Danio rerio: one gene and its partners. The protein of the gene in region 2 purifies or fractionates together with the protein of the main gene of each other region. This does not show direct contact. Links are inferred from orthologs where the notes say so. Each region holds a gene or a part of one and is shown on either strand. Other genes may lie near its edges.

Region 1 (3,660 bases), on a different chromosome or scaffold from region 2:
AGAAAAGTAGAAATTGAGAAAATCCCTTTTTATTTTAGTGTAGCCTGAAAGTGCACTTTCAAGGCTGCTCTCATACCTGTGTTCCTTTGGGTGTTCGATCCACCTTCACACAGAGATAGTCTCCATTCTTCTGCCAGTGAAGTTTGCAGTCTACAACATTAAACAGGTTGCGGACTCTCATCTCATTCCTAGATGGAAACTGCATGAGCGTTACTCTTGCTGGGATGTCCTTATCCTCAGGGACCCAGAATGCAATGATGTTATCACCAGGTGACCAGGAGAAATCCCTGTGGAAATGAGAAAAAAAAAGTCATCAGTGCAATCACAAAAAGTTATTAGTGTAACTCTCAGGAGGCTTTTTTTAAGGTAACTTTGTAAAAGTTCCAAGTTTTATTTTTATTTTTTAAATACTTTTACTTAACAAGCATGCATAAAAACATCAAAAGTGAAAAAAATGTTTAACAAAAAAATCTGAAACATTATTCCTGAACAATTATAAATGCCTTAAATCATATTTGATACTATATAAAACACCCAAAAATACAAATATTTATGCCTTTAATTGTTTAATATTACTCACTTAATTCCGTTTATCTTCAAACTCTTCTTCTCCAAAAGACCCATCGACTAGAAAAGAAACAATTTTCGATTGAGAATCCTCAGAGATCAGCTGTTTAAATAACAATCTCATGTCTAAACCATAAGAGACTTACTGGAGTCTCGTAGATGCTCAGCATGTCTTGGGTCATTCGGGCGAAGAATTTCCCATCTGGACTCCACCTGAAGACAACAGGTTTCCGCGTAAGTTATTATATTCTAGTTCAAATGTACTCAAATCAGGAACATGTGCTACGAAATTCGACTAAGGTCACACTTACTTGAAAATTGGCCAGTGGGCAGAGCTTTCACAGTGAAAGCCTCTTTTCTTCTGTCCTGTGAGAACATCCCAGATAATGATGGCCTGTGGGTCGTCTTTAGTGTCCATAAGAGGGCTGAATGTAACAACATACCTGCAAAAAAAAAAAAAAAAAAAGGATAACATTAAAAAAGGTTTACTAACCTGAAATAAAAATTACTAATTTGACTGTAATAGAAAATGATGCACTGAAAATGCCCTACTAGTTAAATCAAGTAGTAACAAGGATGATTTATTAGTCATTACTTGGTTATTTTGAATTATCGTTATGAAAGGATGACCAGGATTATGACTGTTAACTAATGTTATCACTAACGATGTTAACCATTAGTCAACTTCTCATTTGATGCTCATTTACTCAACCTCAACTGAACCACTGAAAACATCCCGCAGAAGATTGGCTATTTTCAAGTTCGTGGAGTACCGATTACAGCATCCATAATATAATCGGTTAAGTAGACCTGAGCATTTGTTTAATTGTTCAAGTAAAAAAAAAATGAAAACAAGCAATGTACGAGAATCAGCGAGCACAATTGAAAATGACACTCATTGTCTTGGTAACATAAATGTAAAAGGATGACAGGATATTTCTGTTTTTAGCACTCATTTTTACTGATGTAATTTTTATTTAGTTTAACAACAAAACACAAGTAAATGAGCTCTTCCGATCAGCTATTCAGCTTTACTGAGGCGAAGTTTGATTTATATTCACACATTTGTTCATTTTTGAACATTGACAGCCTGTGACACAGTTTTGGGGAAATTTAAATCCTGCAACCGCTGGCCGGTCAACAACTATGCTTGATAAAGTTTGTGTCCATAGAGTTTTCTAACTAGTGAATGACATGATCTAGTGTTATATCTAATCAGTGCGCGTTTGCAAGTTCATAACTTAAGGAGGCGTGGCTTTGGACGGCAGGGGTCGTAAAATTTCTATGCTATTATGCTAATGCTAGCATTCTGGCAGATGACCTACTGCATCTTTAAGGTGAACTCTGAGAACTTTGTCCTATGTCACCATTTTTCAAAAATGGCTTTTTCATATAGAATTTGATTTTTTTTTTGCTAGAAAGTAAAATTGTTTCCTGTGAGGTTTGGGTTGAGGATAGGGTGATAGTACGTACAGTATAGAAACAAAAACATATGGAATGTTTATTTGAGTCTAAATCAGGGAGCAAAATGTGTTAAAATACAAACATGAGGCCATTTCTAAACAGGAGAACATGACATACCTCTCACAGGGAGAGAAGTCAATGAGCTGAACCCCCTGATGACTGAACCTCTGGATCTGCTTGAACTTCTCCCCACCCCACAGAGCGATGCCTCTCTGATGGAATGTAGCCAGATACGTGCCTTTCGGAGACCAGCGCACGTATGTCTCAGTCCAGCGCTACAAGTAAGATACAAAGAAAAATACTGATTGTCAGAGCATGCACGTCCACAATATCTATATATTCTTACAGATGAATGATAGTCTTCTATAACATTACACTTAACTCACCGCTCTCTCCTCCACTTCAATAGGCTCCTTGACATCATTGGCGAATATGCCCGTTCTTTCACCAGAGTCATAGATAACGCTGTACTGATCACGACAGTCAGGATCCTCCATCCAGTGGCGCAGATTACCCTGTAAAAGAAACACCAAATATTAACATTCATTAATTTTTGTAATAAAAGATTTTCAGTAGGTTATGACGACAATGACAATCAAAAATATTATTAAACTCACAAAATCTTTAAATGGCTGCTTTTCAGGAGCTTCCCACTCATCACAGATTGACATGTACCTATGTGGATAAAAGACTTTAGATTAGTGATCAGTTGATTATTAATGCATCACCTGATTTTCTCTTCCATGTTATTGTATGTGCCACATTTTTGCATGTATAGCAAAGTATGTAGGGCTGCAGCATCACAATGTATGCATCTGCAAGTCACATCACAAGGTATCAGGCAGGAATCCCAAATGACAATGCACCATCGGTCAGGGGTGCGTTTCCCAAACAACGACGTAACTCGCAGCTGAACTATCATAGTACGTTGCATCGTTTGGGAAAAGAACGATGTCGTGACAAATATTTCCCAAAACTCGTGGTTTCTCTGTCGCAGATCCATCGCTTGAACCACGTTAGTTTTAACATAAAACGCCCATAATGATGCTCTAAACAGGGTGGAGTAACTACATCTTTAGAGAAAAACTCAAATTCTTTGTGCCAATTATATTGTTTTATACACACATGCATTTAAAATAAAATCCAATATTAGAGTTGGAAAAAACATGCACTTGTTTTTCATTTTTACTGAAATCTACATAAATGTATATGTAATATACATTAAAATTCATGTATTAAATGCATAAATTCTGCTTTTAAATAATAGGTCTCCCACAGCTTTCGTCATGAGGCTGTGTTCAAAATTATATCAATATTTTCAAAATGCACTGCGAAGGTAGCACATTTGTAAACATGAAGATCGCTAAAACTGAACCGTAAAAATAGTTAGAAAGCAAATTACACCTAAGAGAGATGACCTTAATGTTTTTTTTTATTTTTAACAATACCAACTTTTAATATTAGAATGTTCTAAATGAATAGCGCATAGGGGGATAAGTGGGAATAGAACACAGCCAGGAACTATGTTTCTAACTACAGCTCCAGACAGTGAGACTTTTCATTTGTACATTTTGTTAATGCCTGTTGCTGTGCAAACATTCTAACAGATTAAATGCATTTTGTTTACAG
Region 2 (3,760 bases):
GTATAATTATTCTTTTTTGATATATAGATATAACCTACATTATGGAAGCTACCCTGTCACAGTAATCAATATATGAACTTATCGCATTGATAAGCCGTGTCATATTATATTGACATGACCTCAGACATTTTTAGTGATGCAATATATATCGCCCATACATAAAAATGAATTCTAGCAACATTTCAGCTGGTTTTGCAACATCTCGATCTCTATTGAGGTGTCAGTATGGTTTAAAAAGCTCTACAGGTTTTACTATAAATTGCTATAGAAGATTTTCATGTGGGTGTCTGACAACTAAAAATAGATCTGCTAGCAGATATCACAGCTTCTGTTACTTTTTGCCTTGCACCTTTTTGTTAACATTTATTATTATTTATGATATGCGTTTTTACAATCTCATTCCAAAGCCATAGGATAACTAAATTAAATAGTCTTAACAATAAAATATTATGTGTTCTTTGTATGAGTGTACTTGCATTGTGGTGATATTATATTGTCATTCTGGTATTATATAATGAGTGGCATAGAATGGTATTAAAATCACAATAAAATCATTTATCGCAATGTATTTTGGTGCAATATACCGTACAACAAAAACTAGATATATCGTGACAGGCCTAATGGAAGCTTGCTTTTACAATGGAATAAAAGGCAAATATACTTAAAAAAAAGAGTAGCAATATAAACTGAACTGTAAGAACAACAAATGAAAATGAAATGAATATCTGAATTGTGAAATATAAACTTGTAAACATGAGATATACATTTAAAATGGCTGCAAAAATAAATCATGGGACTGTAGGAGAAAAAAATATCATTTTATTTAATTTTCTTATTTTAGTTATTTTACCATAGCGCAAAGCAAAATGCATTAAATGAAAAATAACAAATGTTCACAAAAGTTTCTAAACCTTCTAAAAATATAACAAAAAATGTGCTTACAACAATAACTTAACAAAACTTTAGCAAAGAAAAGAATTATATTAATTTGGAAATGCGGCCACATACCATCCAACAATGACTTCACTCGGCGAAACCTTCTTATGAAGCTCATACATGTTCTTGGCGAACTCCATGTCAACAGCCACCTATTTAAAAAAAATAAAATAAAAATAATTTTAAAAGGTAAATAAATTGCACAATGATGATGATTAAATGCTGGTGCTCCTTAGTAAAGCATAAATAACATATGGTACATGTCCAAAAATACAGTAGCATGTAACATGACACTTTTGAATTAAGTTGGTTTTATATTTGAACATTCAGACACTCGTGTTCAATAAAATAGTAAAGCAAATTTTAAAGAGGCTAATACAGATTCATTCATTTTCTTGTCGGCTTAGTCCCTTTATAAATCCGGGGTCGCCACAGCAGAATGAACCGCCAACTTATCCATCAAGTTTTTAAGCAGAGGATGCCCTTCAAGCCGCAACCCATCTCTGGGAAAAGGCTAATACAGATAAATTAGCAAATTGTTATAGTTAAAAAAAAAAAAAAAAAGCTTATGAACTCTATGAAAGGTCCCTACATTGTTTACCAGGCTACATTGAATAATCGGTCTGAAATGCATGACTTCAAAATAGGCATGGGACGATAACCGTTTTCAAGGTACACAGTGATTTAAAAAAAAAACTGATGTTTTAAAACCGCCAAAATTATCTGCTATAGATGAATTACCAGTTTGTAAACAGTAAAAAAAAAAAAAAAAACTGGAGCGCTACCATTTAGCAGAGCCGTAATCACTATGTAATACTGTGAAAATGTGATATTTATATTAAAGAATATTAACGTCAGAATTGTATACCGGCCCATGCCTACTTTAAATCCACATTAGCACCATTTAACTGACTGTAAACAATGTTGTACTTTAATAGTCACTGGCTGTTAATTTGAGTTGACCGTTTAGGATTTGACAAAGAATACCTTTCTGAAATTACATTAAGAAGGTGAAAGTCTGAATGTGCAAATATAAAATCAACTTTACCTCACTTCAATTTTGGCTGATGGTTTGTAAGTGTATTTCAACCAATCAATTAGCTAAAGATGCATAACAACAGAACATGAAATACCACAGATGTCTCACTCGAACCCTTTAGACCATTACAAAGTTACAGTGAGATACCTGTGATGTGAAATTGTTTTGTTTTTCGTTATGCCTAAAAAGCTACATAAATGTCTGGCACACACTAATGTAAAGGATGTATTAGATGATGCTTTTTTTCTCACCTCATCTTCAGACTCGTTGTGAGGAACAGAGAAGCAGTTGGTGACATCGACTGAATGTTTATCTGCTGTTCCTGTTTGACACACAAACACAACCACCAGGTAAGTGATGCTGCTGATCTGTACAGTTTCTCATCCACCCCAGCCATTCAGCTCGACTACAACACATGCTCCACAAGACCAAGCGACGCTCATGTTGTTTGTAATAATCGCAACTGTCTCATAAATCTCACACAAGAATTCAATGACCCACCTAATAATGTCCCGATCACGCGACTCGCTCCTTCATTCCTGCGCTCGTATGAGTCCACAATCGAAGCCAAAACCACCGGGTGGATTTTCACGACCGGGCCGTGCACCGCCATGATTTCGAAGAGGAAGTAAAAGATGATGATAAACAGAGAAGAAGAGCGCGTCAGTGGGATTCGCGCTGCCGCCCCCTAGCGGATGTAGGTGGCTGACAAAATAATGTGTAAAAAATTATAATCAAATAAATAATTAAACACAGCATGTAAAGTTTTAGTGGGTGGGTCAGGTTAAAGTTCTTCGAGGTTTGCTTGGTACATATCCATTTTTTCAATGGACAATTTAATAGCAACACAACTGCATGTTAATGCCAAAAATCGGATCAGCTAACCACATGGCAGCAATCCAAAACATTTAGACATGATGAAAACATGGCCAAGACAACGCACATGAAAAGATAATGGAGTAATTCATAGTAAATTGGCTACGATAGTGTTTTTGAAACAAATGATAGTAAAGTTTATTATACTGTAGGCCTATACTATAAAGTATTAAGTTAACAACACATGCTAATAAATGCTACTGCATTATCTATAATAAACTGTGTAGGCAACTGTAGTATATTTTAGTTTTACAACAGTAAATTGTGATGTATTATCATGTAGCCTAATATATAACTAACCACAGGCTATTGGGCAACTTGTTTTGCTATAGGCCTAGTTGTTGTAATAACATATCATTTAGGCCAGAGGTATCCAATCTAGGGCATGTGGGCCAAACTTGGCCCTTGATAATCTTTGATTTGGCCCACCATCCCATCTGAGAAGAGAGACTGATAGGGAGGGTTGGGACAATTGCCTTTAACAGAGATCTTAATTTCTAATTTAACGCAACCTTGGTTTGTTTGATTATTTTATTGCTGATCTACAAAAAAAAGGTAAATGAAAATAAACAAGTCAAGGCAGAGGGTGCAGCTTTACTAGTGTAACTCCATTCTGTTTTAAATGAATTTTGTTTTACTATAAAAAGTTCATTATACAGGTGAGGCAGTGGCGCAGTAGGTAGTGCTGTCGCCTCACAGCAAGAAGGTCGCTGGTTCGAACCTCGGCTCAGTTGGCGTTCCTGTGTGGAGTTTGCATGTTTTCCCTGCCTTTGTGTGGGTTTCCCCCACAGTTCAAAGACATGCAGTAAAATGGGTAGGCTAAATTGTCCGTAGTGTATGAGTGCGTGTGTGAATGTGTGTGTGTGGATGTTTCCCAGAGATGGGTTGCGGCTGGCATAAAAAACTTGC
Region 3 (3,660 bases), on a different chromosome or scaffold from region 2:
CGTGTTGGTGTGGATTTCCTCCGGGTGCTCCGGTTACAGTCCAAACACATGCGCTATAGGGGAACTGATCAACTACACTGGCCGTAGCGTATGAGTGTGAATGTGTGTATGGGTGTTTCCCAGTACTGGGTTGCAGCTGGAAGGGCATCCACTGTGTAAAACATATGCTGAAATAGTTGGCGGTTCATTCTATTCTTGACAGAAGATCCGTGCTCATGATAACACTACACTGTGCGCTGGATATGAATGAGAAGTGTCTGACCTCTTTGGATCGGGTTGATCCTGCTTGTTTGCCCATCCTGTACCGTCTTTGGGCACGATAATCACGTTGGGATCGTTTCCTTTACTCTCAGACTTCAGACTCGGCAGGTGAGCGGGAGGAGGCATTCGCCGGGCTGCGGCCACTTTACCAAGACTCTGTAAGCCATGACGTGCAACAACTGCAGGACGAGAGGGGGAAACATCATACACACTAGGCCTGCATGACATTAGACAAATCTCACATTGACATAATTAGCAGTTCTACAATACATTTTGCAATACAGAATTGAAAATTGGTAAGGAGTTGTTCACAGTATTTCCTCTAATGTTTGTTCTTCTGGAGAAAGTCTTATTTGTTTTATTTAGGCTAGAATAAAAGCAGTTCTTAATTGTTTTAAACCCATTTTAAGCTCAATATTATTCACCCCCTTCAGCAATATTAGTGTTGGATTGTCTCCAGAACAAACCACTGTTATACAATGACTTGCCTAATTACCCTAACTTTACCCTAATTACCCTAGTGAAGCCTTTACATGTCACTTTAAGCTGAACACTAGTGTCTTGAAGAATATCTAGTCTAATATTATGTGCCTTCATCATGATGAAGATAAGAGAAATCAGTTATTAGAGATGAGTTATGAACACTATTATGATTAGAAATGTGAGAAAAAATATCAACTTTATATATAAACAATCACCAGATGATTTAAATAGCTTGATTTGCAAATAATCTATTAATCTATATTGATTTTGGCGATTCAGTGGAGGAGCGAATCATGCATCAAATGTAATAAATTGCAAGCACAGATAAACAGAGCAAATATAAAAGTGAAATAAACAGTGCTTCACAGTTTCAGGGCAATCAAATCACATTCAGATACAGAAATAAAAAAATAATTATCAAATACAAAATACAGCAAAGACTTCACCATTTCAATAATTCAGAATTATTGTCTAATTAAGATACAAATGGGAAAATTGCTTGCGCTTGGATGCTTTAAACTCTCTTTTGGCTTAAAAAAAAAAAAGCCTGCAAATAATAAACTATCACTCCGTCATGATTAAACTCAGCAGTAACTCCACAAATCTCATGTATGTGGAACCGTGGCTATATATCCTCAATATAATATATACAATCCTAAACTACATAATCTCAATCTAACATGGCAGATCCTGTGATGTGATTACTGCAGATGCACATATTGGGATATGGTTGCTGAAACTATATATTGTGCAGCCCTAATACACAACACTCACACAATCATTTTGAGTGGACGCCCCCTGGGTGATGTTTAAGGACAATAAGAGGTTCCACAAATCGTTATAAATTTACAGTGTGCCTGAAGCAATTCGGTTACGTAATAAATGCAAGCAATCGGTGGATTATTATTTATTATTTTTAGTAATTATTATTTATTATTGAATTTTTTCCCCTCAGTTTTTTGTTTGTGTACTTGATGTTAAGTGTTGGTGTTTATTGTGTTAAGCGTGTCATTCTTGTAATATGTGAAGCACCACCATGTCAGAATGAATTGCCCCAAGAGGATTAATAACCTAAACTATATTTACAGTATTAATACTTGGCAGCACGTTTGAGCTGTGCTCCATGCTTCAAGAATCAAATGTATGAAAGGATTTTCCAAACGCAATTGCAAACTGTATTGTCAACATGAATGCACAAGTTGTGACACAATCCAAATGCAACTGCAAATCCCAAAATTATATGCAATATGCATCATTTGAAGAATGTGCGGATTATCTTAAACAATGCAAATAACACATCAGCCACTTTCACACAGTAATACCAAGAACATTCAGCAGTGAACTCAAATGTGCAGATCTGCAGAAATTAGCTTGACAATGTGTAAAATAAATAAATTAGTTAAAAAAAGATGTTTGAATGATTGATGGAGATCGAAATGACAATCTGCTGTAATATGTTTGTTTATTTATGCATATAATCATTTATTACTACCATCTATCTAATATTACTCTCTTTTAAAGTGTATTGTTTTTTTTAGTTTATGTTTTATATTCTTATTCAGTAAGATGCCTGAATGATTGTAGAAGCTCTTGCTGTTGCAGGACAACACAACATGAAAAACATTACAAATATTTTCTGTTTAAATAAATATGAATTATTAAAGATGTGTGCTTGGTGATCAGCTCCTGAACGTATAATTCTGCCAACACCTGAGGAGAACTGTCTGCACGCAACACTCGTGAACGGCAGGTTAACATCTCCAATATGGCCAGAAATTAAAGATGACAGATTTGTTGATGGTGTGACGAGATGATTGACAGGGCTTGTAACTAAGCAACAGAATAATCCCTTTGATGAGAGGGTAGCTTTTCCCCAAGCTTGCACACTCTTCTGTTACACACTCGTATGTGTGCACTTTCTACACAAAAATAGACACTACACGTGTAATAGGACACAGTATGTGTCGTGTGTGTGGGATGTCAAAGTGTCGAGGCTCACCTGTGGTTTTCTGAGTTTCTATTGACTTCCCCTTGTACTTGTCAAATAGGCTGAGTGATGAATACTTGCTTTTCCCATCCTTGGACTTGGTAATTTGCCCCAAACGATCGGACATTGCGATGTAATGTCATCGAGTATGGAAATTTTTCTTTGCACCTCTTCCTCAGTACCGTCAGATTCTGCGGAGAAAAGTATAATAACGTGAGGAGACAAACCTACCTTTCCTGAACACATCCACACACAAACACACACTAGAGCTGAACGATATTGAAAGAATGAGATATTGCAATATTTACCCAAGAACAATAAAATATTGCAATATGAATACAGTTTCAGCACATGCTTGAACAGCTCTATTTGACACTTTTCTGAGGAGTCTAACAGTATTCAGGGACAGAAATGTAATTTTCTGGTGCAGATATGTTGAAGATCTTAGATCAAGTCAAATATTGCTTTGTTTTGACCTACAGGAGAAATAGCAATCCATTAAAACAAGCAAGATTATCTGCCAATGCGGTGAGTAAAATAATCGCATTTTGGCTGTAAAGTGTAGAAATTTGGACTAGAAACAAGATAAATCCTATCTATTTTGTATAAGAGCAATTCCATGCAAATGTCAACCTTTCCATGAGAAAATTAAGTTTTCACCAAAATACGGAAACAGTTTCTTGTATTTTACAGTACTTTAGACACTCAAAAATGCATCTGTCAGTGTTTTTAAACTATTCTATTAGATTTACCAAAGTCACACAAGTGGCAATTTCACATCCGTCACATCCATAACGGAGAGATGTCACATCCATAACCACACTTTTCCTCATAAATGTGGAAATATTGAATAAAATAAAAGCAAACATTTTAGTTTCATAGAGAGCCACCTTACATCCTTTAGATTAGCATCGTTTCTTTTGGGTTGT

The links.
Region 1: the proteins of eif3f (region 2) and eif3ba purify together in Homo sapiens (affinity purification with mass spectrometry; 14 studies listed by BioGRID and IntAct, counting the BioPlex papers as one, with this or other methods). This does not show direct contact. The link is inferred for Danio rerio from reciprocal best matches to the Homo sapiens genes EIF3F and EIF3B.
Region 3: the proteins of eif3f (region 2) and prrc2b purify together in Homo sapiens (affinity purification with mass spectrometry; 3 studies listed by BioGRID and IntAct, counting the BioPlex papers as one, with this or other methods). This does not show direct contact. The link is inferred for Danio rerio from reciprocal best matches to the Homo sapiens genes EIF3F and PRRC2B.

What each region holds. Positions count from the first base shown.
Region 1 is NC_133178.1:40,722,548-40,726,207, reverse strand, and holds part of eif3ba (eukaryotic translation initiation factor 3, subunit Ba), read right to left. Parts: intron 2,707-3,660; coding exon 2,649-2,706; intron 2,547-2,648; coding exon 2,418-2,546; intron 2,307-2,417; coding exon 2,149-2,306; intron 1,011-2,148; coding exon 879-1,010; intron 781-878; coding exon 714-780; intron 628-713; coding exon 581-627; intron 288-580; coding exon 77-287; intron 1-76.
Region 2 is NC_133176.1:11,702,032-11,705,791, reverse strand, and holds the start of eif3f (eukaryotic translation initiation factor 3 subunit F), read right to left. Parts: upstream 2,616-3,760; 5' UTR 2,589-2,615; coding exon 2,477-2,588; intron 2,298-2,476; coding exon 2,227-2,297; intron 1,089-2,226; coding exon 1,009-1,088; intron 1-1,008. UniProt on the Homo sapiens protein: Component of the eukaryotic translation initiation factor 3 (eIF-3) complex, which is required for several steps in the initiation of protein synthesis.
Region 3 is NC_133180.1:78,421,159-78,424,818, forward strand, and holds part of prrc2b (protein PRRC2B), read right to left. Parts: intron 2,923-3,660; 5' UTR 2,859-2,922; coding exon 2,744-2,858; intron 441-2,743; coding exon 263-440; intron 1-262.